7 linked regions of the Nothobranchius furzeri genome follow. The protein of the gene in region 1 interacts with the protein of each later gene in a pairwise test. Links are inferred from orthologs where the notes say so. Each region holds a gene or a part of one and is shown on either strand. Other genes may lie near its edges. The genes, in order: dtx2, neuronal calcium sensor 1, arnt2, trim54, glyctk, rfx6 and stx12.

The links.
Region 2: the proteins of dtx2 (region 1) and neuronal calcium sensor 1 interact in binary tests that used the Homo sapiens proteins (3 or more experiments, as listed by UniProt). The two-hybrid records come from large-scale screens. The link is inferred for Nothobranchius furzeri from reciprocal best matches to the Homo sapiens genes DTX2 and NCS1.
Region 3: the proteins of dtx2 (region 1) and arnt2 interact in binary tests that used the Homo sapiens proteins (3 or more experiments, as listed by UniProt). The link is inferred for Nothobranchius furzeri from reciprocal best matches to the Homo sapiens genes DTX2 and ARNT2.
Region 4: the proteins of dtx2 (region 1) and trim54 interact in binary tests that used the Homo sapiens proteins (3 or more experiments, as listed by UniProt). The two-hybrid records come from large-scale screens. The link is inferred for Nothobranchius furzeri from reciprocal best matches to the Homo sapiens genes DTX2 and TRIM54.
Region 5: the proteins of dtx2 (region 1) and glyctk interact in binary tests that used the Homo sapiens proteins (3 or more experiments, as listed by UniProt). The two-hybrid records come from large-scale screens. The link is inferred for Nothobranchius furzeri from reciprocal best matches to the Homo sapiens genes DTX2 and GLYCTK.
Region 6: the proteins of dtx2 (region 1) and rfx6 interact in binary tests that used the Homo sapiens proteins (3 or more experiments, as listed by UniProt). The two-hybrid records come from large-scale screens. The link is inferred for Nothobranchius furzeri from reciprocal best matches to the Homo sapiens genes DTX2 and RFX6.
Region 7: the proteins of dtx2 (region 1) and stx12 interact in binary tests that used the Homo sapiens proteins (3 or more experiments, as listed by UniProt). The two-hybrid records come from large-scale screens. The link is inferred for Nothobranchius furzeri from reciprocal best matches to the Homo sapiens genes DTX2 and STX12.

Annotation. Positions count from the first base shown.
Region 1 is NC_091750.1:69,056,490-69,059,989, forward strand, and holds part of dtx2 (probable E3 ubiquitin-protein ligase DTX2), read left to right. Parts: intron 1-861; coding exon 862-1,062; intron 1,063-2,062; coding exon 2,063-2,163; intron 2,164-2,460; coding exon 2,461-2,631; intron 2,632-3,500. UniProt on the Homo sapiens protein: Regulator of Notch signaling, a signaling pathway involved in cell-cell communications that regulates a broad spectrum of cell-fate determinations.
Region 2 is NC_091757.1:35,613,229-35,617,431, forward strand, and holds the start of neuronal calcium sensor 1, read left to right. Parts: upstream 1-1,403; 5' UTR 1,404-1,543; intron 1,544-2,139; 5' UTR 2,140-2,241; intron 2,242-3,138; exon of another isoform or gene 3,139-3,183; 5' UTR 3,184-3,216; coding exon 3,217-3,280; intron 3,281-4,203. UniProt on the Homo sapiens protein: Neuronal calcium sensor, regulator of G protein-coupled receptor phosphorylation in a calcium dependent manner. Directly regulates GRK1 (RHOK), but not GRK2 to GRK5. Can substitute for calmodulin. Stimulates PI4KB kinase activity.
Region 3 is NC_091749.1:5,894,150-5,898,353, reverse strand, and holds the start of arnt2 (aryl hydrocarbon receptor nuclear translocator 2), read right to left. Parts: upstream 2,801-4,204; 5' UTR 2,673-2,800; coding exon 2,642-2,672; intron 1-2,641. UniProt on the Homo sapiens protein: Transcription factor that plays a role in the development of the hypothalamo-pituitary axis, postnatal brain growth, and visual and renal function. Specifically recognizes the xenobiotic response element (XRE).
Region 4 is NC_091742.1:14,249,008-14,253,087, reverse strand, and holds the start of trim54 (tripartite motif-containing protein 54), read right to left. Parts: upstream 2,801-4,080; 5' UTR 1,912-2,800; coding exon 1,594-1,911; intron 68-1,593; coding exon 1-67. UniProt on the Homo sapiens protein: May bind and stabilize microtubules during myotubes formation.
Region 5 is NC_091743.1:64,675,131-64,679,401, reverse strand, and holds the start of glyctk (glycerate kinase), read left to right. Parts: upstream 1-1,471; 5' UTR 1,472-1,687; intron 1,688-1,871; exon of another isoform or gene 1,872-2,085; intron 2,086-2,409; 5' UTR 2,410-2,425; coding exon 2,426-2,781; intron 2,782-2,856; coding exon 2,857-3,008; intron 3,009-3,083; coding exon 3,084-3,259; intron 3,260-3,319; coding exon 3,320-4,210; 3' UTR 4,211-4,271. Other genes in the region: wdr82 (WD repeat-containing protein 82), read right to left, coding at 376-473, 1,021-1,181.
Region 6 is NC_091742.1:9,783,778-9,787,277, forward strand, and holds part of rfx6 (DNA-binding protein RFX6), read right to left. Parts: intron 3,232-3,500; coding exon 3,025-3,231; intron 1,748-3,024; coding exon 1,444-1,747; intron 1,226-1,443; coding exon 876-1,225; intron 1-875. UniProt on the Homo sapiens protein: Transcription factor required to direct islet cell differentiation during endocrine pancreas development. Specifically required for the differentiation of 4 of the 5 islet cell types and for the production of insulin.
Region 7 is NC_091751.1:25,527,620-25,531,633, reverse strand, and holds the start of stx12 (syntaxin-12), read left to right. Parts: upstream 1-1,214; 5' UTR 1,215-1,336; intron 1,337-1,411; exon of another isoform or gene 1,412-1,539; intron 1,540-1,879; 5' UTR 1,880-1,920; coding exon 1,921-2,014; intron 2,015-4,014. UniProt on the Homo sapiens protein: SNARE promoting fusion of transport vesicles with target membranes. Together with SNARE STX6, promotes movement of vesicles from endosomes to the cell membrane, and may therefore function in the endocytic recycling pathway.

The sequences.
Region 1 (3,500 bases):
TTTTTTACGCCTAACCGGACAAATCCTGTTAACGTGACAGCGTTCGGGTGGGTCCAGTCTGGTCCGTCTGCAAGAGTTTTTATTCTGACGCCACCTTCCAGCCACGCCTTTTTGTCCCGCTGAGGTCAGGTTTGGATGCTTCGCCGAACGTTTGCAGGTAAAATATTCATCAAAGCTGCTGATTTCTATTCTTTTCTCTGCCTTTTTAATTCCTGCTGCTCGCCTTTTAATTTAGCCGGCGCGTTCCGAACAGACGGAGTAATTCCAATCAGCTCGGAGGACCGGAACCTCATTAGTGGAACGCTCCAAAGCGGGACACGAGTAAATCATTTCAAATGGAAGGTCAGCGGTGCGGCGCCGCAGATTTAATCCTCATTAGGCGGTAATGAACGTTAACGGTAACCAGAGCCAAACTTCACCGTTTGGTTTGGATAAACTTGTGATGAAAACACGACTTCCTTAAACGCCGCCGCCGTCGCCGTGCTCCATTTGTGAGCGAGTTTTCAAACTGAAGCCGGCGGAGACAGAAAACATTCTGTTTACGTTTGTGCATCTCTGATCTCATTCAGAGTGAAGGATTGTGGGTAGTCACAGCTCCAAGTTCTGGTTTTTGCTCTGACACACACACACACACACACACACACACACACACACACACACACACACACACACACACACACACACACACACACACACACACACACACACACACACACACACACACACACACACACACACACACGCCTGAGTTGCAGCGGAGGCGTCGGCCGCTGCTACGTTTCTCATTCTTTTGATTTGTTCCTTTCTGTTCCTGCATCCCTCCACTTGCTCTCCACCCTCACCCGCCTCACCCCGCTCCAGGCATGGCCTCCATTTTGATGTCAGCAGTGGGACTCGGCGTGCACTTCACCTCCGCCCCCCTCCCTCAGCAGCAGCATCAGCCGCCGCCGCCTGCTCCCTTCGCTCTTCCTCCTCCTCCTCCTCTCCTCCCCTCAGCCAGCAGACCCAACAAGCCCCACAGCAGCAGTTCAGTTAGGAGAGCAAAGAGGCAGCACAGGAGAGGTAGCTACCTCACCCAAAAATACCCATAATCCACTTCACCTCCATCCTCCTCCACCCGTCCACTCATCTCCACAGGCTTGAGGAACATCTCATCCTCCATCACGACTCGTTTCCATGCGTCCTCACTCTAATCCACCTTGCCGTTTGTTTTGCGTCCCTCGACAACGAGGATAACGCGACACAGGTGATAAAAATGTCTCACCTGTGGATTTTCAGCGGGGGTTCAGCTTTGGAGGAGAGAAAAGGTCAAACCTTTGAGCCAGCAGGACGTTTATGATAACGACGAGTTTGAGTTTGTGTTCCAGACCTCAGGTCTGCAGAAACCTCAGAGAAGCTAATGAAAAGGACAAAAAGACGAGGACAGGAGCAGCTTCAGCCGTCAGAACTTTATTTGTCCTCAAAAATACTACATTTAATAAGATTAGGAATATTCTGTGAAATTCTGGAGCCTCAGTTTAATAAATCCCTAAAAATGTCTCATTAGGTTGATTTTAGGACGTGTGAGCATCACTAGGTTTGCTTTATTTGATGGACTTGATTGGATTTTGCAACTTCTGGCTTCAGATTATAAAGAAGAAATGTTGAAAGTGATGCGTGGATATTTACAAGACGCTGCGCGCCACAAACTGTCTGTTTTCACAGTTATTTATGTGATTTATTGCAACATTTTATCGTTAATAACCAACAGATATTGGAGCTGAAAGCACTCGGTGGCTGTGGGAAGAAAAACCTTCGTTTGCCAGTTTTTCTTTCCCAACAAACTAAACGAGCTCCCTCACCATCAGAAACACGGAGACTCCCTTTAGTTCATGTTGGGTCCCGTTTCGCCGTCCATCAGCATTTCATGTGTCCTGGTTCCATTAACTTCCATCAACCCTTGACTCTTAACGTTCTTTCTGACGGCACCCTCCTACAGTAACTCACCTGATGAGTAGAAGTGCTGGAGTTGTTCGTCTCTCCAGGAGAAAAATAGTTTCATTCCATCCCGTCTGATTTTTAGTTTCAGCACATTCTCGACTTCTCTCTCCGCCAGTGCTGACTCGGAGCTCTGAGGACGTGATCCGGCGCTACATGGAGGTGGTGGCTGAGGTTCCCGAGGAGGTAAGTGTTGTTGCATTAAAGTAAACAAGTCCCAAATGTATTTAAAGGTATATTTAGACCTTCTGAAGGGAGTTTATTTCTATTTGTTGGTTTTATTTGAAGTAGAGGGAAATTGAAAAAGACAAAAGCTCTCAGGACAGCAACACAAAAACACCATTTCTCTGAACAGAGGCTGTTTTAGAACTTTTACACATAAATGCATTTCAAGATGGCTGTAATATCCCTTTAAGACACGGCTCAAGGCATGATGGGAAATGTTGTGTGAAGCTTTAACACTCGGAGACTCGTCTCTTCCAGGACTGCATCATCTGCATGGACCAGCTGTCCAGCCCGTCCAGCTACGAGACGCCGCCGTCCTCAGAGGACGGGGTTCAGAGCGTCCTGCCGGACACCGTGGGAAAGTTCATCACATGTGGACACACTCTGCACATGCTCTGCATGCTGGCCATGTACAACAACGGGACCAAGGTACGGGGGACGTTTGGGCTTTCTTAAAGCCTAAATCAGGAAGAAGCCTGCAAACAGAATCGTTGTTCATACAGTTCTTGTTCAAGTGTCCAAATTAAGACAAAGGATTCGGTTCTGTTTTGATATAGAATGTTTAAAGAAGTCCTCGATTAGATTTTCTTTAGTTAAGGCCTTTAAAATGACAGAAATCCTTCGATCCAAAGGTTCTAAAAATAGCACGGGGTATTTCCAGGCATGCATGTTAGCTCCAGGAGCAAAACGATGTTAAAGTTCGACTCTTAACGCCGTTTGTGTTTGATCAAATGTGATTAAATATCAAGTCAAAGAAATAAAAATGCATAGAATATTAAACGTTATTTTTGTTTATAAGGCAAGAATGGGGATTTGGAAACATAATGGTGTATAAATGATGGTAATCGGTATGCTATTCTAACGTTTTAGTGTAAGTTTCAGGTGTTTTGGGGGGTTGGGGTTATGACAGGGTATCTGCGGGTCCTTAAAAAGTCTTAAATTTGCTTTTCCAAATTTAAGGCCTTGAAAATCCTTAAAAATTACAAATAATCCTTAAATCCAGTTTCCAAAGGTCTTAAATTACCAAAGACCCAATAAACAAGATTCTTTTATTTCCATAAAATTTTCGTGAATTTCTAGTTTGTGTTCAGCATTTTTAGTGTACGATGTTGGCGTATGCAGAACCGTACACGTTCAGCTGGTTGTGAAAGGGGGCCATTTTTAGATGAGCACATTAGCTGGTTAAGCTAGTGGGAGCTTGCGCCATGGGGAAGTGCAGTTTTTATGGTAACTGGGTGGCTAATCCCACGTTTGCGACGTGGTTAGCACCGGTTCCAGGCAATAGCTGGAAATTATAG
Region 2 (4,203 bases), on another chromosome or scaffold:
GGCTTGTGGGAAAAGGACTTGTTCTTGCATCATTGTTTTAGGAAAATAAGACACCAGTGCATGTTCAAAACTTCAAAACGATTCTTCCCATCTCTTCTAACAAGTACAGCTGAAATCAGTTTGCATCATTCTTGTTTTGCATTTTGTCCCAGTGGGAGATGCTGCATTACATAGATCAGTAATCTTAATGAAAAAATCTGAGGAACTACATCTGAAAACAGTTTTATGATGATGTTTGTGACTGAAGGGAGATAGCATTTTTGATGGAATTTTTCCAGGAAAATGTCTTCATGATTACAAAAAAAACATTTGGGCTATAGTTCAGTTTGGGAACTTTAGATTTGTACTCAAATCAGCATAAATATGTTGCAGTGAACTGTGATGTTCTCTTTGCGTTTAGTGATTGCAAAGGATAAACGCTGACTGTTGCTGCAAAATAGACTCACTTTTCATTTTATCAATTAGATGAAAATTGGAGTTGATGATCACACTTGCATAAGTGCAAATATATTTTAAACCCAGTAACGGAGACATTGCATGCCCTTGTAGCAAATTAACAAGCCTGTGGCTCAAATGACACCCCCATATATTTTTCTCATCCAATTATTAAGATCCAATTAAAAACTTGAAACAACAAACAAAATTACCAAGCTGAGTTAAGAAACCAAGCTAAAAATGTGTTTTAATTATTCTCACACCTAGGACAAATAAAAGCAAATAGAAATAGAACAATTGATAACTAATGTGACACGGATATTTCTAAGGGCAGGATGAATGGGTGGATAGATGGATGGATGGATGGATGGACAAATAGATGCATAAATGAATTGATACATGAATGGATGGATGCCCTTGCAAACAGCTAACGTCTCATGGACGTGCAAATAAGGTATTGAGTCCGTTGGTCCAGACCAATTCCGAACTATGTATTTGCACATTTGGGCATGGATGAATGAATGACGCATGGATGAACTGATGAATGCGTGGGTGCAGGGCTGGATGATGTATGCATAGGTGCATGGATGATGCACTTGTTAAGTGCAGAAATGGATGGATTTTGGATAAGATAATTACGCTTTAAACTAATTCAGGGGTGCCTGATTTAAATATATGTAAAAAAAAACTTCGGAAAGTTTTCACAAATGGGACCAGACTGGGGCCACTGAAAAAAAAAATCTGGTAACGATAAACTAGCTAAACCACCTTTTTATACTTCGCAGTGAAGACTTGATAGTAAACGTGGTGTGTGTCTGCTCTCCTTTCTCGGTATGGAAAAATGACACGTGTAAAGGCTGTGCAGGCACACAAAGAGTCTGTGTATGACCGTTGCTGGTACCGCGACGTCAGCGACTCTGTCGGGGGCCAGCAGCAGCAGCTACGTCACTCCCTGACGGCGGCACATCAGAGGAGCACTGACGGTCAGCCGGGGCTAGCAGCAGCGAGAGGCGGCGCGCGCTCGGCGGAAGAGGACAGCGGTTCACTGCTTTCTATACGCTCTGTTGTGGGTCAGCCTGGACCAAGTCCTCATACTCCAGTAGCGCAGGTAAATCCTAAAGTATTTCTTCCCGAAAGCTTGAAGCATTTTTATTTTTACGGTCAACTGGCAGCTCTGAACAGCGCGTGGGTACCAAACGTGGCGAGTGGACTAGCGAGCCTCGCATTGTCCCTGTTGTCCTGTAGCCATAAACTGCGTTGCTATGGTGCCGAAAGGCAACATCCCACCTGCTGCTGCCATCACACACACACACACACACACACACACACACACACACACACACACACACACACACACACACACACACACACACACACACACACACACACACACACACACACACACACACACACACACACACACACACACCTGTCAAACGTTTGTAAAGGAGTTTTACTGTTTATGACTTTCGGTTTCTTTAGAACCATTTAATTAACTAATTTAATGGAGTAGCCTACACTGGAAGAGTTTAGCCTCTGCAGCTTCTAGAGGTAAAAAAAAAAAAAAAAAAAAAAAAAAAACAAGTCATCTGCTTCTCAGTGTTTTTCCTTTATTTGAATTCCATTCCATCCCATTCCAATTTCCAGTAAAACCATCACAGGTTGCCAGTTTCATCCTAACTGCTGTTTTGTTTATTTTTACAGCTTCCAGGATCTAAAACGGTTGTGCAAACAAAAGATGGTGATCACCAGCGTGGCATCCCTTAGAAGGACTTTGGACAAAGAGAGCAAATGTTAGCACTGAAGGTGCAGTAGTTTTCTGCGTAGCACGTCTCAGACAGATGCTGTTGTTAGAAATCAGTGCATGCCAATACCAGGCCTGTGACACAAAGAAATTCCATTATCCCTATCTCTCTTGACTGCTGTGACAAGGAGGGAAATCACCAAGCCATTCTGTGGAGAGGCAGGGAGGGAGGGAAAATTATGAGTCAGAATGTAGGAGTAAAAAAACTGTCACTCTTCGATCTGCTTAAACTTTCTAGAGAGTGCACAATGCTTATTTTAAGAGCAGTACCAGATACCTTTTTTACTGTAGAGCAGGTATTCAAAACAGTAGAAACATGTGACACATGCTTGGTATTTATTTAGTTAATAGAATTGATGCTCTTTGAGCAAAACTAAGGCCTATTAATTGCATTTTAGTGTACTCATCTCCTTATCTCAGAATGGGGGGATTCTGTTCTGCTGTAATGTACGCTGAGCAGTAGAGATAGTGGTGGGAAAGGAGGGGTGGGTGGAGTAAAAAGAACAGTGAGCGACTGTGAGGCAGAGTGTGCTTAACCCAGCATTTGAGTGACTCTTGTATCCAAGGACGAAGGTAGCAACGCATCCGAAAGCCACTCCTCGCCCACGGACTGCTGTGAAGAAGTGAGGCGGACGCTCAGACGCTCAGTGGTGCTCAGATAGACTCAACAGCCTCACAAAACCCCTGGGGTTTGATGTCTGATGTGCCAGGGATGATGACAGTGCAGATCATGACCACAGCTAGAGTGAAGGATAGACTCACGTAGCTTGAATGGGAGTTCCCCCCCTTCTTTTTTTTCTCCATCGACACAGACCAAAACAAAATAGTGTTTTGCCTTTTAAGAAAACAGTGTCATTTGTATCCTAAATCAGCCCACGGTTGTTGCATGTTTCTGGCAGAGGAGCACACTGGAGCGAGGTAGTAACAGGTGCCGTGTCCCACAGCGATTCTGGAGGTGTGGATGAGAGCTGAAGATCATGGGAAAATCAAACAGCAAGCTCAAACCGGAGGTGGTGGAGGAGCTGACAAGGAAAACCTACTGTGAGTTTCTGCCTGTCTTTATAAAAATGATAACTTTATTAAACACTTTGTAACTTTGGTTAAATAAAGTTTAATATATGAAAATACATATATTGATGCTGCAAATTCCACCTTCTGTGACCCTCTCTACAGCCTAGAGGGATTCTTCACTCTGGTCATTATTGATAGAACAGAGCTGCAGCTAAATGTCAGGCTTATTTGATTTAAATTTACAGTTCAATGTGTAGCAAACAGATTCGTTAAGGTCAGACAGAAAGTTGGAATCAGCATATTTAAATCATGATGTGGAAACTTAAATATAAGGAATAGGCCTGCACGGAAAACCTGCGGTATTCGATAGCAATGATTAATATTGCAATGACGATATTACTTGCGATAAATAAAAACTTAACTCAAGAACAAAAATAATCAAAAACAAAGAAATAAAAAAAAATCATAAAAATGAGAAAAGCAAAGGATGTGAAGAAAGGTAAAAAGAAAATGAACAAGAAAAGACAATCAGTTGATCCCGGGAAAAGCAGAATCAGCAAAAAGAGCAGAACAAAGCTAACTCAGGTGTTTGCTAACCATCTAAATTAAGTGCTGTCCGCCTCGGGGGCGGGCATCTAACCTATGAGAACCCACCCAATTGGCCAAATGGGTAAAGAGCTCTATTTGATTTGTTAAAAAAAGCATCATGCTTCCGTTTCGTTGACAGAATGCATTATGTTTAGCAAACATTTGTGATATTTACCTGTTCTTTGCGATATGCATATTGTGCATGCTGATATTGCGATAACGATATATTTATGATATATTGTGCAGCCCTAATAAGGAACCTGAGTTTGTGTCAGCTGTCGTGTGGTTTCATGGGTTTTGCTGCAGAACTCTTCTTTGTTGGTAGATTTACTAAGTTAAATCTTTTTTAATGCTTTACTGTAAAA
Region 3 (4,204 bases), on another chromosome or scaffold:
TAAAATATACCGTAAATCCTCTAATATTAGCCTGTATTTAATTAACTGCCGGGTATCATATTTTGGCCGGCGTCGGAGTCGGCGGAGGTGAATAATGGCCGGTTTTTTATTGTGGCCGGGTGGAATGTGGTAACAAGCAAGTACGGGGGGCGGTTGTGTCATCCGTCTCACTTTTGATTTGCCAGTGATAGACCGCGAGGGTAACTTTAACCGTGCGGAGACGAAGAGGAGGCGAAAATTTGATATCAAGTTCAAAGAGAACGTGCTGATTATGCTGCAGAACACTCTGGGGAGCAGTAGCAGGGGTTGTATGAACTAGTCACTAGTCGACTTCACCGCTCTATAGTGACTTTTTATGCCTGTCATCGACTAGTCGCTGTCACGTGATAATGACCGGCAAGATGCAGTCCTCGGAAAAGACAGCAGCCTGCTGTCAGCAGGTGACAACCTCCTGCGCGTCGGGAGGCAACGCGCTGTGCCAGAGCGTCGGTACTGACACCCGCCGTAAAACGGACATTTAACCAAATTGTGACCTTTACCCTCTTGCAATTTTACATTCCCCTCACCCCCATCCTAACCTTAACCAGCTTGCGCATGCAAAGCTCTGATTGTTGACGCGCTCCAGACATCTGCGTCCTGAGCACGGCCACAGTAACATTATCAAATCAGGTGTCGCCACCTCAAAAACTAATTTAACACGCGATCGTTCATGTCGGCTCATTTCCTTTTATGTTTTCTGTCTTTAATTCTTTTATATGTGCCTGATGCGTTTCGCTGCTGTGGATCGGGACGCATCACCTGTTTTGTCCTCGGTGACGCACCTAACTGATGTGGCCGGCAAGCACCCCGCTGTTTTTGCGGTCGGTAGATCTTTTAGAATTGCAGTTCAAAGGTAACTCATGAGGTGAATATATATGAATCCAGGCAGCAGTTTTTCTTTAGGATTGAGAGGAGATGCAGGAAGATAATAAAACGAGACAGGACATAAAAATAGTCAAATAAAACAAGTTAGTTGTTGTACCTGCTGTTGCAACAAAAAGACACCATTGAAGGTCATCAGAAGTGAGGAACAGAAAATGAAATAATTATTTTAATGTTTAGAGCAGCAGGAACTCTGAGAGGCTGCAGGCGCATCAGTGAGTTTGCGGCCGCTGCGCAGGGGGAGGGGGGAGATGGCTGAAGCAGAAACTACCGTTGTTAAAAGAAATGTGTTTAACTTTGAAAATGTGGGCTCAATTTTAATTGTCAAAAACTCCAGCGAACCATTAGTTCATTTTGCTCAAATAGAAATAGAGGCCTGCCTCTAATTCTGGTCCTCCTTCCAATAAAGGCCTGGAGCTTGAGTAAAATACAGACCCGGGCCTGTATTCAATTCAATTCAATTCAAGTTTATTTATATAGCGCCAAATCAGGACAAGAGTCATCTCAAGGCACTTCACATAATAAACATTCCAATTCACAGTTCATTAAGCCAATCAGAAATAATGTTTCCTATATAAGGAACCCAGCAAATCGCATCAAGTCACTGGCTAGTGTCAGTGACTATACAGCAATCCTCATACTAAGCAAGCATGCAGCGACAGTGGAGAGGAAAACTCCCTTTTAACAGGAAGAAACCGCCAGAGAATCCTGGCTCAGTATAAGCAGCCATCCTCCACGACTCACTGGGGATCGAGAAGACAGAGCACACACACACACACACACACACACACACACACACACACACACACACACACACACACACACACACACACACACAATAATGTGTCTATAGTTCTATTGTGATGTCTTAGTAAATATTCTGTTTGGTTAGTTCAACTTTATTGTATTTATCCTAGTGGATCTCTAATTAAATGGGTAAACTAGCCGTAACACGTCCAACGTCAAGGAAAGCAATATAAGCATTATTATTATGTATTAGAGGATTTACGGTATACAAGAAATATACGATGATAATAATAATCATTTTATGTATGTGTAACAGTGATGTTAGGGCTAAAAGGCAGAAGATACGTTTTGTTTGTTTGTTTTCCTCATTATATTGGAACTTCACGTTGTCCCACATTTGGTGAGTGTGTGTGTGTGTGTGTGTGTGTGTGTGTGTGTGTGTGTGTGTGTGTGTGTGTGTGTGTGTGTGTGTGTGTGTGTTAGCTTAAGTGACCATGCTCCTGTAGACCCTAACCAGCTTCACGAACATAAGCCATTGCTGCAGAAGCTGGTTCTCCTGGTCAGTGAAGGTAGCAGCATCACCGGGTCTGGTCGGAAGCAGCAGGAACCACTCACTGCTCTTCCTGCACTATGGATGGCTGAACCTCCGTAACTCCTTCATCCTAGTGCTGGGATGGCTCTAGCAGCGCCGAAGCCCAGCCTGAGCTGAGCCGTCCCCACACCCGTCTCAGGACCAACCGGGACTCAGTCTGTCCAGTTTAACGGTTACGAGCCGCGGTTCCGTGGACACCGGGCCCAGCAGCCCCGTGAAGCCACGGGAGAAGCGCCACAACCACACAAAGACCGAGCTGGGCCCGAACAGAACAACACGAAGAGGCCGAGCCGGACCGGGTGGGGGAAGGGGACAGATGCTGTGGCGGCCTGTGGGGGCACCGGCCTCGGCCTCTCCCCCCCCCCCCGAACGTTCACTTACCGGACGGGTTCACCGCAGCCGGAGTCGCCATGTTTGCGCCGTTTATGTGTTTGCGATGTTTCTGTGAGGAGCACCGATGGAGATGACGCACAATACAACAGAGAGCTCCGGGTCAGATGTCTGAATGGTAACACCGCGAGACTTTAGAGCCGCATGAATAACGGGCGTTAGAGCCGGTGATGATGCAGCGCCGGTACAGGTGTTGTAGCGATGTCGTTATCCCCGGTAGCGCTTCCCCGCGACGGGAGCGCGCGCCAGCGCCACACCGTGTCCACCCAAGTGAGAGGAGGGTTTCATTCGGGTTGGGCGACATCACAGAAGGATGTTGTTGCTGTTCTGGTGGAGATGACCATCAGGCTCCTTTAGTTCTCCATGAGGTTCAGCCTTACTGCTGGAGACAGCATCCACACAGAGGCAGTGCGTTATTCTAGTAAAACACCTTCCTGTAGCTGAGGCCATGGGCCTACACCTCAATAAATAACACCGGAATACGAGTAAGCCGGCATTATTCACAACCCAGAATCATTTTAGTCAGAAACAAGCAAGGAAGCAGGGCCGGTTCTAGACAGGCCCATGTGAGGGGCAGACAGAAGAAGAAAAGCCTGTGTTGGTGGTGGAGGGGCTCTGGATGTTTTTGTCATGTGATGCATTTTGTTCAACTTTGACCTTCCCTTTCCTTTTCTGTCCCTGAAATTCATTCATCACGTCATAAATCGAGCAGGGGTTCCCAAGCTGGGGGTCGGGACTCCTAAGGGGGTCCCCACAATTTGGTCTTTGATGAGGTTGTGAGGTTATCAAGATTTCATTTGTAAAAATGACATAAAAGTCCCAATAACACACCCAACATTATACATTATAACTCTGTATGTCTGCATAAAAGTGGTAAATGATCTCATTTAAAGAGTGTGTGTGTGTATGAGTTGAGGTTGGGGGACCTGGCCTGTCTCGGACACAAGCAAGGAGGTCCTCGAAGAAAACGCCCCTGGACTACAGCACTAACATGTTTATGGTGTCCCAAAACCCTCACCAGACTTCAACTCATCCACAATTCTGCTGCCTGTCTCCTAACCACACCCACTCCTGTGGCCTCATCACTCTTGTCTCCTCGTGACCTCCACTGGCTTCCGCTATGGCGTTAGACCCGTGCCACAACCTGTGCACGCGGATTGGGTCCACATCGCGCGTGTGAACGGGACTCGCGAGTGAAAATATACATGGCGAGAGGTCATTTGTGCACTGAGAGGGAGCAAACTGTGTCTGTGAGCGCACAAGGATGTGCACAAGTGACAAGCCTGCGTGCGCGCGTTGCCAACGAGCACACGGCAGAGGAAAACGTGCGCGCGCGGCAGCCTCTCTGCGCGCTCGGTTTCTGACTTCGCTCGCTCAGCTGTTAAGGGGTTTTGGTACTCTGGAGGCGTGGCCTGTGGCAGATCTTCTCTGTCCTCTGATTGGTTAGTTTACCCCGCACTTTACCCTCTACCTCATTGGCCCATTGGCTTCCTGTCGGACCAAAATGATGGGAGCTATATAAAAAAAATCTGATACACAGTAGTTGTTGTCATA
Region 4 (4,080 bases), on another chromosome or scaffold:
GGCATGATGGACAGCGGAAGCGTCCGCTGCTGGAGGAGCCTCGAGGCTGCCACAGAGGGTTGGTGGCCTGGTTGAAGACAAAAACTGGTTTTCTTGGATTTTTGTTAAAAGACATTTTATCATTTATCTTAATGATAAACAGGAGGCTGTTTAATGGGTTGAGGTTAGTCAGCTGGAGTCATTTTTAAAACGATGATTCTCAGGAACATCTTATACGCTTTCTAAGTTTATTACATCGACATATGTCGATGTAATAATAAATATATATATGTATATATGTTTATTATAACAAATAATTTATCTTTAAATCATAAAATGAAAACAATTAAAGGAACCTTCACTCATATCAGCATTGGAGGACTAATTCAAACGCTTTCAAGGTGATTTAAAAAAAAGTGTTTTTCAAATAGTGATCTGACTTTTTCACCACAACAAATAAGAGTTATTTTTTTATGTTTATGATTTTATGGCTGTTTATGGTGATAAATAAAACAACAAAGCTACAATGATGTGTTAATATGCAGAAAGGCACCCTTTTGTCTGAATCTGCTAAAATGAGCCTTTTTAGGGCCTGTAGCTTGGAATTAGTGTTACCATGGCAACGCTTTTAACAAACAGCCACAATAAAAAGCACCTCGAACTTGACGGAGCTCAAATACAAGCATGCACCTGCACACACTGTGCATCACACTGACTGGCTCGGTTGGAAGAAGTGGTAAATCACTTTTAATGACAATTTGAGTTACCATGGCAACAGTATTGCCAAAATATACATTACAAAGCAACTCTAGCTAAATGTAGTTGCTCTATGTCAATACCGAAGATGTTTATGAAGTTCTTTGCACTAAATCTCTCTCACATAAAGCAATTTCAGCAGTTTTATCATTTTCAGTACTTTCCAAAATGAGCCATTTCAGGGCTCTGTCACTTTGAGAAAACATTGCTGGCCACACCCACCAATTTCCTGATTGGTCCCTATGAGGTGAGGAGCTCAAATATCCAACAGGGGCTCAGAGTAGAGCTGCCGCTCCTCCAGAGTCGACATGTGAAGGTATTTCTATGCTTATTTGCCCATTTTTGAAATCACAATCTGGGACTTCTTGATTTTAGGCACGTAATTCCTGAAACCAACGACGGACAGAACATGGATGGATGGGGTCTTCCTGCCTGGACTGTTTATGGAGTCCGTAGACTCACGACGGCGCAAAACAAATGCAGAAGGTGAGTTTTGCATAATTTGTCTCCTTTAAATCAATCATCTATCAGAGAAGGTGTTTGCTGCTGAAGTTCAAACTGAGCATCAGAATAGAGATTTACGGTGGAATGTTGTTAGTACCAGGCATGATGGTCTGATCTACCAGGATTTGAACCCACAACCATCTAGGGTCTACAGAGGCTGGTCAGACTGGTTCTTGATGATTGAAAGACAGCAGTGGTTCCTTTAGGACCACACCAGCTGCTCCAGGTGGACTCCAGCAGCAGACGACCACACCAGGTGTCAGCTAAGAACATGAAACTGAGGGTAAGTCCCACAGGATCACCAGAACTGGATCAGGGGTTCTGATGAGTCTACCTGTTGATCTTCATGCTCACCTGCAGGACGTCGTTGGCACACCCACGACACAGGTTATGCTGGCAGGGCAGGATCACCACAGGTTTAGAGAACATCTCCAAGCACACGGGGCAGATCAGCTGTTTCTCCAGGTTCTCCATCGTGGTTTTGCTACGGGTACCGGGCTCAGAACTTCCAGGTGTTGGAGGTTTGAACCCAGAAGCAAAGCTCATTGCCTCAGATGGCGAACAGGTAAAGATTCTGCTGGCGTTTGTGAGATGTTTGGTTTTTATTGTAGATGTGACTCTATTCTTCCCCCTCTGAAAGCCCGTCTGGCTCGGATTTACGGACCCTCCCATCAGATATTTTTAGCTCTAGTGTTTGTTCTGGATCGGGTTTCTGGGAGCTCCGGGTGTGGCAGGAGGGTCACCACTATCAGAACTCTCTGTTGATGTTTCCATGAAGTCCGACACCTCAGAGAAGATCCTGGAGACACGATGACAGACGTTCCTGGTTGTTAACACTTCAGATGATTCCTTAAACCCCACAGCTGATTCCTGACTGGTCCCAGTTAAACCAGCCCACAACTCACTTCCTGTTTGCTCAGATTTGGGAGAAAATAGTAAAATCTTGTTGTTTTTTTTGTTTAAATCCTGAGTTCTTCTCCTGAACTGACTCAGAAGTTTTATTTTGTTCATAATTTTATTTTTTTATGTTTCAAAGAAAATCTTGAGTTCTCTGTGAATGGTTGTCATGACAACACGAAGAGTTCATTTAGATTCCTGCAGTGATTAACAAGATTATCTATGAGATGTAATGCTACACGGCATCATATCTAATCATCTTTGTTCTGAGAACGTCCAGCTGATCAGAGCCACAGACATCCTAAAACAACTCTGACTCAGTAAATTCATTTTTATCTTTTGTTTTCCTCTTAGGAGACGCTAAAATTAGCTCTAGAATGTTTGATGGCGTCACTCAGGAGGATGAAAATAAAGCAGGACGAGATGCTGAAACAGAAACACGAGACGCTTCCCTCGACTGAAACAGCTGACAGGATCAATTTAAAGTTTGTTTTTATTTAATTTGATGTCATCAGGAGGAGAAATTAGTTTGTTTCTCTGAGAGAAACAAAGAAATGATCAGAGGAGATGGAGAGTCTGGATCTATCCCAAACTCAGACAGCTGCTGGTGTTGTAGGTGAAATCTGAGGTGTAAAAGGTGAACAGAAAGGGTGAGAGCGCCGTACCCTGTGGAGCTCCAGTACTGCACACAAAGGCACACTTGGCAGTTTTGCTTACCTTTAGCACCCCCTAGTGTACGTATTAATTATCTTTGGTCAAATCAATAATCAAACCTATCTTCTTGCTGTGCATTCCTCTTTTTAAATGGACACTTTAAAACTTTTTCATACTTTTAAATTATTTTCTTGAGCCAATGCTAAAATAACCCTTTACAGGGTTAATGCCCCCATCACCCCCTGTGGTCAGACCATCGTGTTCCGGTCTGTTGGGACTTAGAAAAAATTGAGCTGACCTACCGGGCGCTGCTGTCTGGTTCCAGCATGTTTTCGATCATGAACACAGCTGATTTGTTTCGTTTAGTGATGACTCACTCCTCTAGACACTTAGGAACTCTGGGAGACATTTTGGCTGTTAGATTAAAGTGTTAAAAAGAAGAATGCACAGCGAGATTGGTTTCGCTTCAGACTATAGGGGGTGCTGAAAAGCAAGCCTATTATTTCTTTAACGCATGCCCCCCCCCCCCCCCCCCCCAACTTTTTCCAAAGTCAAGTTTTGACCCCTGCACTTTTTACCATCCAAAGACAATATTACGCTATATTAAGTTGACACTGGTTGAGCTCTAGGACCAAGCAGAAAACAACCATTGTGTTGAAGCCTGTTTCCCATTAGAACATACTGTGAAGACCCCCCCCCCCCGTGTCCCCCCACTTCTAAAGTGAAAATTATGTCCATGGTTGTGAGTCATCACTACATCAACAAATCAGGTGTGTTCATAATCTAAAACATGCAGGAAATGTGCTGGAAGCAGACTGAAGCACCAGGTATGTCAGCAATTTTTCCCCCCAAGTCCAACAGGTGCCCAGCAGTCCGAAGTTGAAGGTCTGAGCGGCATTTCATTAACCCTGTAATGGATCATTTTAGCACATACTGACTCAAGAAAATTATTTAAAAATATGAAAAAGTTACATAGTATGGCTTCAAATACAGAACAGAAGGCAGAAAAAATATAAGTTAAATAACAATCTTCACTGACAAACCATTTTATATAATAATTTCATGGAGGAGGCCATCGGCTAGCACACTGCTCTGTGTGTGTGTGTGTGTGTGTGTGTGTGTGTGTGTGTGTGTGTGTGTGTGTGTGTGTGTGTGTGTGTGTGTGTGTGTGTGTGTGTGTGTGTGTGTGCTCTGTCTTCTCCATCCCCAGTGAGTCATGGTGGATGGCTGCTTATACTGACCCAGGATCCTCTGGAGGTTTCTTCCTGTTAAAAGGGAGTTTTCCTCTCC
Region 5 (4,271 bases), on another chromosome or scaffold:
ATCATTAAACTCGTGTCAGTCAATAAACATGTAAGACCTGCAGCGGGAGTAAATGATTAAAACGAATCCACCAGCATCAACATGTGATGAGTACACTCAACCGTGGGCAAGGCAGTCACTTGTACAGTTAGCTCCTGTATGGGGCAGAATCACAGACCCTCAAACTGTACAAACAACTACCTCAGACTACAGTGAGCAGCATGATGAGCTGTGATGGAGAAGCTGGAGGTGGAGAAACATCCTGTAGAGTTCAGTCAATACAACAGATCATGATGCTGTGGCTAAAAAAAACAAACCCTTACAGACCAAGAAAAGTATTCATCCCCATTCACAGTTGAATGAATGTAATTATGGAAATGACATTAGTTTACATACCATCAATTTTGTTGGAACTGTAGACCACAGTGTTTGCAGCATGTGTGTACCTGATCAGATCTACTCCATACTTTTTACTATACAGAGTCCTCTTGGGCCTGTAATTAATCAGAACAAACAAAACGTGATCAGACTAACATCAAGAATTTTAATCAGAACAAATAAAACTAACCAACTGCTATTTTGTTAAAGTTCTATATTCTGCCGTTCTTGTTTTAAATCTGATTACATGCTAATCCAAATCTTCTACACATTTGGTTTTCTCTCATTTACCTTAAAAATAATGTATCCACATAATTGTATTGGAGCTAAATATGAAATAATGCTCGCACATGCTCATGTGAATACTCGTTTAGATTCAAAATTACTGATGATGCTGTAAAATAAGTTTTATAAAACTTAACAATTCAAATTTCTGCCCTCTTTACACCATCACTCAAGCTAACTATTACAAAAAATTTTAACATGTTGGGTTTTATTTACGGGTATATTTTACCAATCAGATAACCACATAATTATTACTCTAGCGTAATTCAAACGCGTATTTTTATTTGACCGCTGAGTCCTACGCAGTGCGACAGGCCTCGGTGTTAGCTTAGCATGAAGCTAATTCCAAAAAGTAAACTCAGCAGAAATCGCCCTTACTTTCCTTCCTGGCAGTCGTACAACACTATAGAGTCATCGTCGCTGCTGGAAATAATAGTTTCTCCGTTCGAACTGAAATCGAAGCAATTAATTTTGTCTGAGTTCTCACGAAATACTTTAGCAACCCTGAAGCTCCGTAGCACATTGTCCGTTAGCTTCATGGTTGTCTTGAGGGGAAATAGGCCCTCGTTCTCTTTGAACTTGATTTGGAAAGTAAACTTGAGGAAATTCGTGTGGATATGTGAGCAACAGTTACACTACAAGTCACAATTATCGAGAACTCAAATCAGAAACAACGACAAAATCCCGCCTGTAACACAGAAGGGAAGGGAAACGCAATGTCCGTCGCTCTATAACGGAAGTCACCTGACACGGGTGAAAAAACACGTGACGAGACAGCGTGTTATCGCGAGAATTACCACCAATACAAACAGCAGAAACACAGTGAAGAACAGCGTGAATAATCAAATCTTTCGCGTTTTTAGCTGATCTTACTTTGAAATTTCAGAGTGTTCCGATTTAAACACAAGACAGTTATTGTGTTTTTGACGTTTAATACGTATTTTTTATAATAGTAAGTGTGGAATTTTGATGTTCGAACATGAACGCAGAGGTAACGAAGAAAGTTCCAGCAGGAATTTTGACTCCATGGATAGAAACATTTCAGGTATTTGGCAACAAAACTGTCAACATTGACAGTTTTAGGCAAATTATTTCAATTTTAACTAAGATGCTTTAAAGTGCCAAAATATTGACTATGCACGTCTACACAATTAGACACTAGTTTAGTTTATCAGAAGAAAAAAAAGTTGATTTGGGGGTAACTTGCCTTTTAAACTTAATTTAATTTGATTCACACGTGTTCAAGTAAAATAATATGTCTCAACTGGATGAAGAGCACTTTAGCATGGTCTATGATCCGTTAAAGTTAATCATTAAACAGAGTTTAAACAACACCAATCATTGTCGGGCCAGATATTTGTTCCACTGCTGAGCTAGAACACACACGACGGGATTCCACTGGAATTTGCAGGCATTAAATGCCACCATTCACGACCCACACAGGTAGGCAGTCTTAAGGAATCTCAGAGAGCTCAATATTGGAGTGAAAGTTTGCAAAAGTAGAATGTTGATAACAAATATACAAGTTTTAGTTATTGGATTAGTATTTTTATGGTTGCTTTTCAAAAGCAAGATATTATGCACATGGATGAGGATAAAATTAGATGCAGAGGTTTTTCCACACCTCCTTTCTTTCGTTTTTGTACAACGAGGAATTGTTGGTGTACTAATTCCAAGTTTCTTTGAGGCATGTAATAAATTTCAAATGTCTTCACATGTTAAAGGTTTTTTATTGTCATTCTTTGTCCTGATTCATGAATTTCTCAGACCCATTGATCCATCAATGGCCCGCGTCCTTTCCCTGATCCGGCCTCAGCCTATTCTGGCCCTCGTGGGCCGGCCAAAACCTACATTCTGCAAAATGTCAATGGACTCACGGGCCCGGAAGGTCTTTGCAGCGGCAGTGGAAGCTGTGCAGCCAGACACTGTAATCAGGAAGAGCATAGAGCGCACGGAAGATTCAGTTCTTATTGACGGTCGCAGATTCACACTCAAACACAACCTGCACTTGGTGGGCTTTGGAAAAGCTGTTCTGGGAATGGCTGCGGAGGTAGAGAGGATCGTGGGTGATCATTTAGTGAATGGCGTCATAAGTGTGCCTCATGGGATTCAGCAGACGTTACGGCAGCACGGGAAAAGGTAAGGAAAGACCTTCAGAGGGAATCAATTTATGCCAAAGAACTAAAATAAATCAAGCTCTTAATTCTATCGCAGCCATCTCCTGCTAAAGGAAAACAGTCGAATCAAAGTGATGGAAGGAGCTAAACACAACTTACCTGACGACGACGCCCAGAGAGCAGCTGAAGGCATCAAGCGGTTAGCCAGTGAACTGACAGAAGATGATTTGCTACTTGTACTGATCTCAGGTAAAACTAACAAAACTGTTCCTGATCATCACATTTAATAATGTGATCTCCAACATCGGGTTCATCTGTACCCAGGTGGAGGCTCTGCACTGCTACCTGCACCCATACCACCGATCTCTCTGCAAGATAAACTGGATGTTACTCGCCGACTTGCAGCTGCTGGCGCCACCATTCAAGAGCTCAACAAAGTTCGTCGAGCCCTCTCTTTGTTAAAGGGAGGAGGGCTCGCACACTATGCTCACCCCGCGCAGGTAACACACTTCCTGTTAAACTATTTATGGACGAAAAGCTAACTTATCCTCTCTTCTCAGGTGGTTGCTTTGATTCTGTCTGATGTTATTGGGGATCCACTTGATTTAATAGCTAGTGGTCCGACCGTAAGAAGTGAGGTGTGGCCTGAGGAGGTTTTGTCCATCCTTGAACGCTACAAGCTGCCAGACTCCCTGTCAGCATCAGTAAAAGACGTCCTTGCGAGACGAGGTCCCCGGTGGAAAGAGAACAAGGATGAAGCTGAAGCATCTGGAGATGTTCTTAATGTCGTGATTGGCTCCAACAGCGTCGCCCTTCAGTGTGCAGGATGCTGCGTTCGAGACCTAGGTTTCCGCCCTGTGGTGCTTTCACCAGGTGTGTGTGGAGATGTGAAGTCTGTCTCCAGACTTTACGGTCTTCTAGCTCGCTTTGCCTCTTCTCGTGAGGAACCTCCTCCAGAGATTGCAGCCGAGGTGCTGAGGCTTGGGCCGGAAGTCGGCGTGGAGAGCTGGGATCTGTGTCGTACCATGCAGGTACTGGGCGAAGGGCGCACAGAGGGATGGGGCGCCACGTGCCTGTTAGCTGGAGGGGAACCCACGGTGGAGCTGACGGGCTCTGGACGAGGTGGTCGAAACCAGGAGCTGGCTCTACGGGTGGGACTGGAACTCAGAGGCCTGGAGCTCCCACCTAAAGGACCCGTGTTCCTGAGTGGTGGCACCGATGGCCAGGATGGACCCACAGAGGCAGCAGGGGCCATCACTGATGGGGGCCTGTATGACGAAGCCCAGGCACAAGGGCTTTACATCGATAATGTTCTCACTGACAATGATTCTCACACATTTTTTTCTCATCTCTCTGATGGAAAGCGTTTACTGGTTCCTGGCCTAACCTGCACCAATGTCATGGATGTGCATATGCTACTGGTTCCAGCAATTCCTATTAAAATAAGCTAATTCAAAAGCACAGAAGATTGAAGAATCACTAGAGCTGACTTACATTTTTGCTATTTGTTGA
Region 6 (3,500 bases), on another chromosome or scaffold:
ACCCGGTGTGGTCTTCTGCTGCTGTAGCCCATCTGCCACAAGGTTCGATGTTTTGTTAATTCAGAGATGCTCTTCTGCATACCTGCTTGCCTATCTTTCAGCTCGAACCAGTATGGCCATTCTCCTTTGACCTCTGACATCAACAAGGCATTTTTGCCCACAGAGCTGCCGCTCACTGGATGTTTTCCTTTTTTCTGACCATTCTCTGTAAACCATAGAGACGGTTGTGCGTGACAATCCCAGAAGATCAGCAGTTTCTGAAATACTCAGGCAAGCCCGTCTGGCACCAACAACCATGCCACATTCAAAGTCACTAAAATTACCTTTCTTCCTCATTCTGAAGCTCAGTTTGAACTGCAGCGGACCGTCTTGAATGCATCGAGTTGCCACCGTGTGATTGGCTGATCAGTACTTTGTGTTAACGAGCAGTTGGACAAATATACCCAATAAAGAGGCCAGTGAGTGTATATGTGTGCTGTGTTCAGTGGTTGGGTGCTTTTGATAGCTGAAAGCACTTTTTAAAACAAAAGATGGTGGTGATGGAAAAGCGGCTGAACAATCATTTTTTCAGACAAATTTTAAGTAAAAAGGGTATTTTCAGAAACAATAACTATGAGTTTTAAGATCTTGCTATGCTACATTTGATGACCTTTGTGGAGGTTTTGATTGTGAAGGACGTTGGAAACTGTTATTTTTTGATTGAATTTGACCTAGAGTACAAACAAACTTACTGGTCTGAACAGATAAGACAAAAACACCTCTCGATAAGTTTTTCATAAATAGAAGCTGAGCAGTTCAACAGGATTGTTTCTGTTTTGCAGAAGCTCATTAATAAGAGATTTGAGAAGTTAACATTCCAGTTTGTGATTCCTCACCGCTGTGTCCTGTAACGGAGAACGTCTGTTCCTGACAGGCTCCACTGGTGAGGTTCAGGTTGCCCTCCACAAATCCAAAACCCTCACCAGGATCCAGGACCTGAGCGGCTGCCTGCTGGTCCAGTCCTCGTTCTGTCCGAACAGGATCCGAGCCGGGGGCGTAGCTGGATGTTGGTGGAACAACTGAGCCGTAAGGAGTCAGGGAGCAGTCTGAGCTGCTGGAGGAGTGATGGAGAGGAGCAGGATGATGGTTGTAGAAGATGTCTTTCGCGAGGGTCTGGTCAGTGATGGAGGAGTAGCGAGGGAGGTGGCACGCCAGAGGAGACTGACACTGGTTCTGGGTCTGGGATCTGAAAATCAGAACACCCTGATTATATTTGTAATAGACAAAGTTCTGGTTTCTTCTTCAGTTATTCAGGCAATCATGTGGAAAGTTTAATTTACATAAAATTAAAAATTAAATCTGTATTTGTTTCCTGTTAAGCTATCAAACGTAACCAAATTTGATTTGTTATTTTAAATATTTAGATGCACACATAACAAATCTGCAGCTGAGAGTAAATCTGACCTGAGAGCAGTCTGGTAGTTTGGACCAGAGGGGCTGCTGGCTGGAGGAAAGTAGCCAGTGCTGGTCTGAGGTAAGCTGTGGTACAGGGTCTCTGAGTAGGATTGGCAGGGCTGGGTCATTGCACTGATAGAGGAGAAGCAGGAGGACGAGGAGAATGAGCAAGAGGAAGAAGAGCAGGAGGATGTGAGGGGCCTCCCCGCCATGGGCCCTTGGTTGATGACGGAGCCACGGTGGACAAACGCAGCTGGAGAGATGGGAGGAGTCATGAGGGGGCCGCTGACCTGAGAGAAGTCCATCTGACCTCCTGAGAGTAGATGAAGAGGAGAAACTTTCAAACATCACGATGGATGAAGTTCAGACACTTTGTTCCTGTTTAGAACAGGAAGTAACTTTGGGTTCTGCTTCAAGTCGGTGGGAGATTTTACACCATTTTCAACTCATTTGAAAACTAGAAAGTGCCGATAATGTTTACACATATCCTTATTCTCAATAAGAGACATTTTAAAACTTCCAAGGTCACAGAATGAGTCTCCTAAAGATGTCAGGGTGTCTCTAGAAAACACAAATTTATGCATAGTTTCCAATTATACAAAAAATTGTAGTAAATAATATTTATTTTATCTACATCAGCATCTTTTATTCGACCTACAGACTCTGGCTCTGCTCTCCCATCATGTTTAATTTTTTTTTTTACATACATTTAAATTAAATTCTGCACCAGACTGCTCGAGGATCTGCCCGACTTCAAATGGGCTTTACTAAGGACGTTGTAGTGTCACTGAATGGCCTGATTCTTGACCTCAGGTCAGACACACAGCCTGGGTCACTTTGACCTGGCTGCTACGACAATCTACAGTGTTTCTTTCACAGGAAACTGAATGTCTGTCCACCACCCCTTTAATCTGACTGCCTTTATCTGACTGCTGTTCCATCCGCAAGACGAAGGACACTTCAAGATTTAAAAGAATCCTTTTTAATAAACTCTTTTCACTGTCTATTACAATGTTCATAAATAATCATCATGGTTCATTTTAACTGTGTTTAATTACTGAAATGAATTATTATTCTTTGGCTAATAATAATTATTTATGATAATCAGTAATGTTAAAAGTGACAAGAAGATCATGTGCACTTATGCACAATCATACAGGGCACAGTAAATCAGGTTAAGGTTAACCGCATTCACATGATTCTTTTCTCATCCACGAGAACTTCCTATCTTTAGGGAAGGCGTGTTCTGAGGTATGTTAAATGAGATTTAATGTGGATGATAATGAAAGTAATTTTAGTCAAATAATTGTTTGCTGTCCCAGCTCGGCAATTATTTGCACACTTGTGTACTACGCACTCGAAGCCTTACGTGAACTTCCTCCAAGTGCACTTTGCAGAGGACCATGGGGTGCAGCACGAGTATTGAGACAGGGCCTTAATCGTTCTCTTGCATCAACACACCTGTTCAGCAGCTCATCATGCACAAGTCTGTTAATCACCTGCTGATTAGAACCAGGTGTGCTGAAGCAGAGGTTTCCCTGCTGCAGATTCACCGTTGGTCACAAACTTTAAAAGTTGTTTTTTGTTCACCTGCAGCCGTGAACCCAGATGTGTTGTTTCCCTGGTAGGGCCCAGTTTTCGCCTCCAGACCCTGCTGCTGATTGGTGAACACAGCTTTGTAGGTGTGTTCTCCCAGAGACTCGTTCTTTACTGATTGGTCAGAGGGAGCAGATGCCTTGCTGCGATTGGCTAGAAAGCAGGAACTGGGTGACGCCATGAACGTTGCTTTACTGGCATCTGAAAGTGACATTATACAAAAAACATCTGGGTTAAACTCCATAAAAAACTGTGTCAAGGCTCATTTACTACTTTTCAGAGCAATCTCTCTCATGACATTTTAAAACCATTTTAAACTATTCATAGATGAAAATTTTCACCTGAATTTATACACTGGTTAAGGCTGACTCAGACTTTATTATCTTCTTTTAAGTCACAAAAACAACCTCCATGTGTCAACAAATACAATAATTTTATTAAGTTGTGAGTTAAAAACAAAAGACCAGATT
Region 7 (4,014 bases), on another chromosome or scaffold:
GGGCACAACAGCAGAGTTCTCTGTCCGGAGCCGGGATCGAACCTGCAACCTTCCGATTACTGGACAACCCGCTCTGTTGAGCTACTGCTGCCCCAATGTAAACACTGTGAATAATCTACTAAATACTAATGGCGAAACATTATCCCACAAAGTCTTCTTAGAAAAATATAACATTAATACTTCACAAGAAGAGTATAACATGGTAATTAAATCCATCTATGTTTGTATTTTCTATTTAACACAGACCATACAATCAAACATCATCTTATCTGCAACAGCCAGACCTCCAACTATTTCTGGGATTCCAATCACAGATAAGAAATTTAATAATTCTGTTATTAGAAAAGTAATTGATCCTGTCTCAACCCCGATATGTAAACACTGATGGACTTTTATGAATACAAAACTCTGGAACAGGATCTTTCTGCTACCTCACCAATATGTTATTGTGAATAAGATAAAAGAAATTTGATTCAAAATTGTTCATAGATATTACCCGTCAAAAGCAAACATCTGTATTTTTTTCCAAATGTTTCTGACATATGTACTTTCTGTGGTTGTAAGGGAGAAACTATTGAACATGTTTTTGTTGATTGCTTTCATGTAACTTTGTTTTGGTTCCATTTAAAAAGATACATTTCCAAAAAGTTACAAAAAAAATATTTCTTTAAGCAAATATGAAATACTTCTTATTGTTACTAACCCTCATTTATCATCCAATGAAAAATACATAATTAACTTAGTCATTATTTTAGCAAAATATTATTTACATAAAATGATTTTTCAGAAAAGTATCCCCTTCTATAATTTCAGAATTACAGACCTTATGAAATATTGGAACAGCATTGAAAAATTAAAAATGAAGAACAACAAACTAACAAAGACCATCAACTTATTTCATCATTTCAACTTAGACACAGCAGACCCCTAAGTGTTATGTTTCTAAGTTATATATGTTTTCGTCAGTTTTTTTTATTTCTTGGTTTTTTGTTTAATAGTTTCCTAATGTTGCATGTATATTATTGCAATTCTAAACAACTGTAAAATGTGATCCATGGATTTATTGAATGTGTTTTCTGAATAAAACCTGTAAAAAAAATTAATAAATTAAAAAAACACCACGGACCAGGAAGTAGGTTTGGCTCTCTGACCTATGATTGGAGGCCGTGATAAAATGGGTGGGACGCTGCATTGTGATTGGTTGAGCTGTTGAAGTAGCATCCTGGTATTGGTTGTTAGGGTGTGTTGGTCTGTGAGGTCTTAGCGCTAATGCAATATAGCATCAACCTAACGGAGGACGAGTCATCTACGCCCATGTATCGATTTCAATACATTAGTAAGCAAATTACAGCATGATGCCTTGTTTTAATGTAGAATTTCGTCTTTGTTTTAATTGACCACGCTCTGCGTGTCCAGTTTACGAGCAGTTTTTACTGTAAAAAGACGAAAGTAGACAAGTTCGCCACCGTTAGCCTAAAACGAAGGTTTAGCTTCTCCGTTCTACCAACACAACGCTAGCTGAGCTAAACAGATACGACGGTTTGTTGAAGTGTTCCGTTCCTTATTGTTATTGATTAATTATGGGGTTAATTTAAAGGCGTTTAAACAGCAAACTGGTCTGTTCGCTAACTCGGTGTTCGGACATTTGTTTACATTTACATTTAGTTTAACTGCTTAGCGGTGATAAATAAGTGATAATCTGACTTGATTGGACCTTTGAGCTCATTACTGAAATAATCAAACGTCATTCATACGCGTGACAGAGTCAAAAAGGGAAACGAGTTTAAATCTTTAGACCCTTAAAACTTACTTAAACCATTATGTCGTTAAGCCAAATCGTTCAATAATGCAATGTTTATTGTTCCATTTTCTTTTGCAGTTCCAGTTTAACGTGTCAGGAAGCTCCTAACAGTCGCAAACATGTACGGAAAAGCGGAGTTCCGCCCGGTTCACATGGACTTCAGCTTTCTCATCCAGTCCTGCAGCTCAAACATCCAGAAGATCACACAGAACAGTAAGAGGTTTCTCCTGTTCCTCGCGCTTCAGCCTGGTGGGAAATCACATGCCACATGGTCACGTGATGACCATGTGAATGAGCTTTATAGCCTGTTTGTTATCCCCACGGTATTATCCACTGATCATCATCTCTCCAGGGTCGCACTTCAGTCTTTTTGGCTTCTTTAATGTTATTTCTTCAGAGGTGTGAACAGCAGGTCTCTTGATGAATGATCAGTTTCTCGTTTTACAACAAAATTATTTAATAATAAGGGGGGAGTGAGTATGTAACAGGGTGTGGTGTCACTTAATTATTATTAACAATTACTAATAATTATGAGGGGAATTTTTTTTTGTGTTGTTACTGATGTCTGTTGTCCCTCTGGAGTGCTGCAGGAGTACACACAGGGATTTATGGGGGTTGGATGAGGATAATGAAAGAAAGAAAGTAAATCAGTGTTTTGTGAACTGTTTAATTTGACATAAACATGGCAAACATGCTTTCTTGTCATTGTGTGTGAAAAACAGTGTAGAAATAAAAACAAACGACATGTGTTAATAGAGAAATAGCTGGCAAGCCGTGCTGACGCATGACGCATGCGCCGTGAGCGGTTTTGGTACTTTTTGGGTTGCAGCCACTCGCAGCGCTGCTTCAACCCTCACGAGGGACGAGCAAAATATCAAACATGCCAGAAATCAGTGCGAGCTCACGATTGCTGATAGGTAGCTGGTCACGTGGTGTTAATTGCCTCTCGTAACCACCTGTATACTACACGACGCTCTGCACAAAACTTGCCCCGATCTTGTAGATTCTCGCACGAGGGGAAAATCGGCTCAAAAAAGTGAAAGAGTCGCACAGTGCCCGCCTGGCTTAAAGGAACAAATATGATTTTGTAGTTCAAACAACAATGCTAAATATGTTAATTTACATTTGAGAACATTACCTCATGTCCAGTTGAAACTGGTATTGTTTAATGAGTATTGTATTGGTTTTCTCAATGACAGGAAATTGAAACATTGATATAATTTGCTTTTCGTTAAGACAAAATCGATATCGGCAAGTCAGGTTTTTCTCAAGATCGGTGATTGGCCAAAAACTGCAATCGGTGCACCCCTACTTCTCACTTTTTGCAGGAAAACCTAAGTGATATAAAGCTGATTTCTGTGTTTTAGTTCCGTCAGCGGGCTAGCATGTCCAGCTTTTCTGAGAAAGTACGACTTGAAAATGGAATACTTCCTGAGACCAAATCCATTCATCCCGTTCCATCAGCCATTGTGGGCATAAAAAATAAGTAACATCAAAAGTATTAATGTGCATGGCTCACAAGAATGTGTTTTGCTAGCGACACTTGGTAGAGATAGCTTCTCTCAGACCGTCGGACCAATCGGAGGACAAAAAACCCCTGATGTCACCGTGAGCCAACTACCTGGCTCAGCGATGTGATTCTGAAAGCTCACTGGTTAAAAAAACCAGATCCCATAGTAGAGGTTAACCAATGTTGGATTTTCTATTACTGATGCCGATAAGCAGAGCTAATGGTCAGCTGATGGCCGATATCTAGACATCAGTTGATACACAAAATTTCTGAAGCTAAATCAGTTTTTGAACTTGTAATTTAACCAACTGTTAAACCTTAATTTTGTGCACGGCTCAGTGTTAAAATCAGACATCTAACTCAAGTGAATCAAACAAAATTATTTGTTATGCAGAAGTTACTCAGGAACATAACTCTGCAGCAGCACCAGGCTGCCTGAGGATGTGCCTGACTTTAAATCTGCTTTACTAAGGAGATACTGTATATTGGCATTGGGCGATAAATCACTCTACCACTACTATATGGTATAACTAACAAAGGCCCGTTCTACTGATTCTGAACGCTTTGGGCAGATTGGACTCTCCCTGGCATCAATAGAGGCTGAAATCTGATTGGAAGAAAAATCCAGATGTAGAGGACACGGTGTCGGTACAGGATCGGCTCGGGGTCCTTCGACTGCCGATGACGTCACATTACTGCAAAT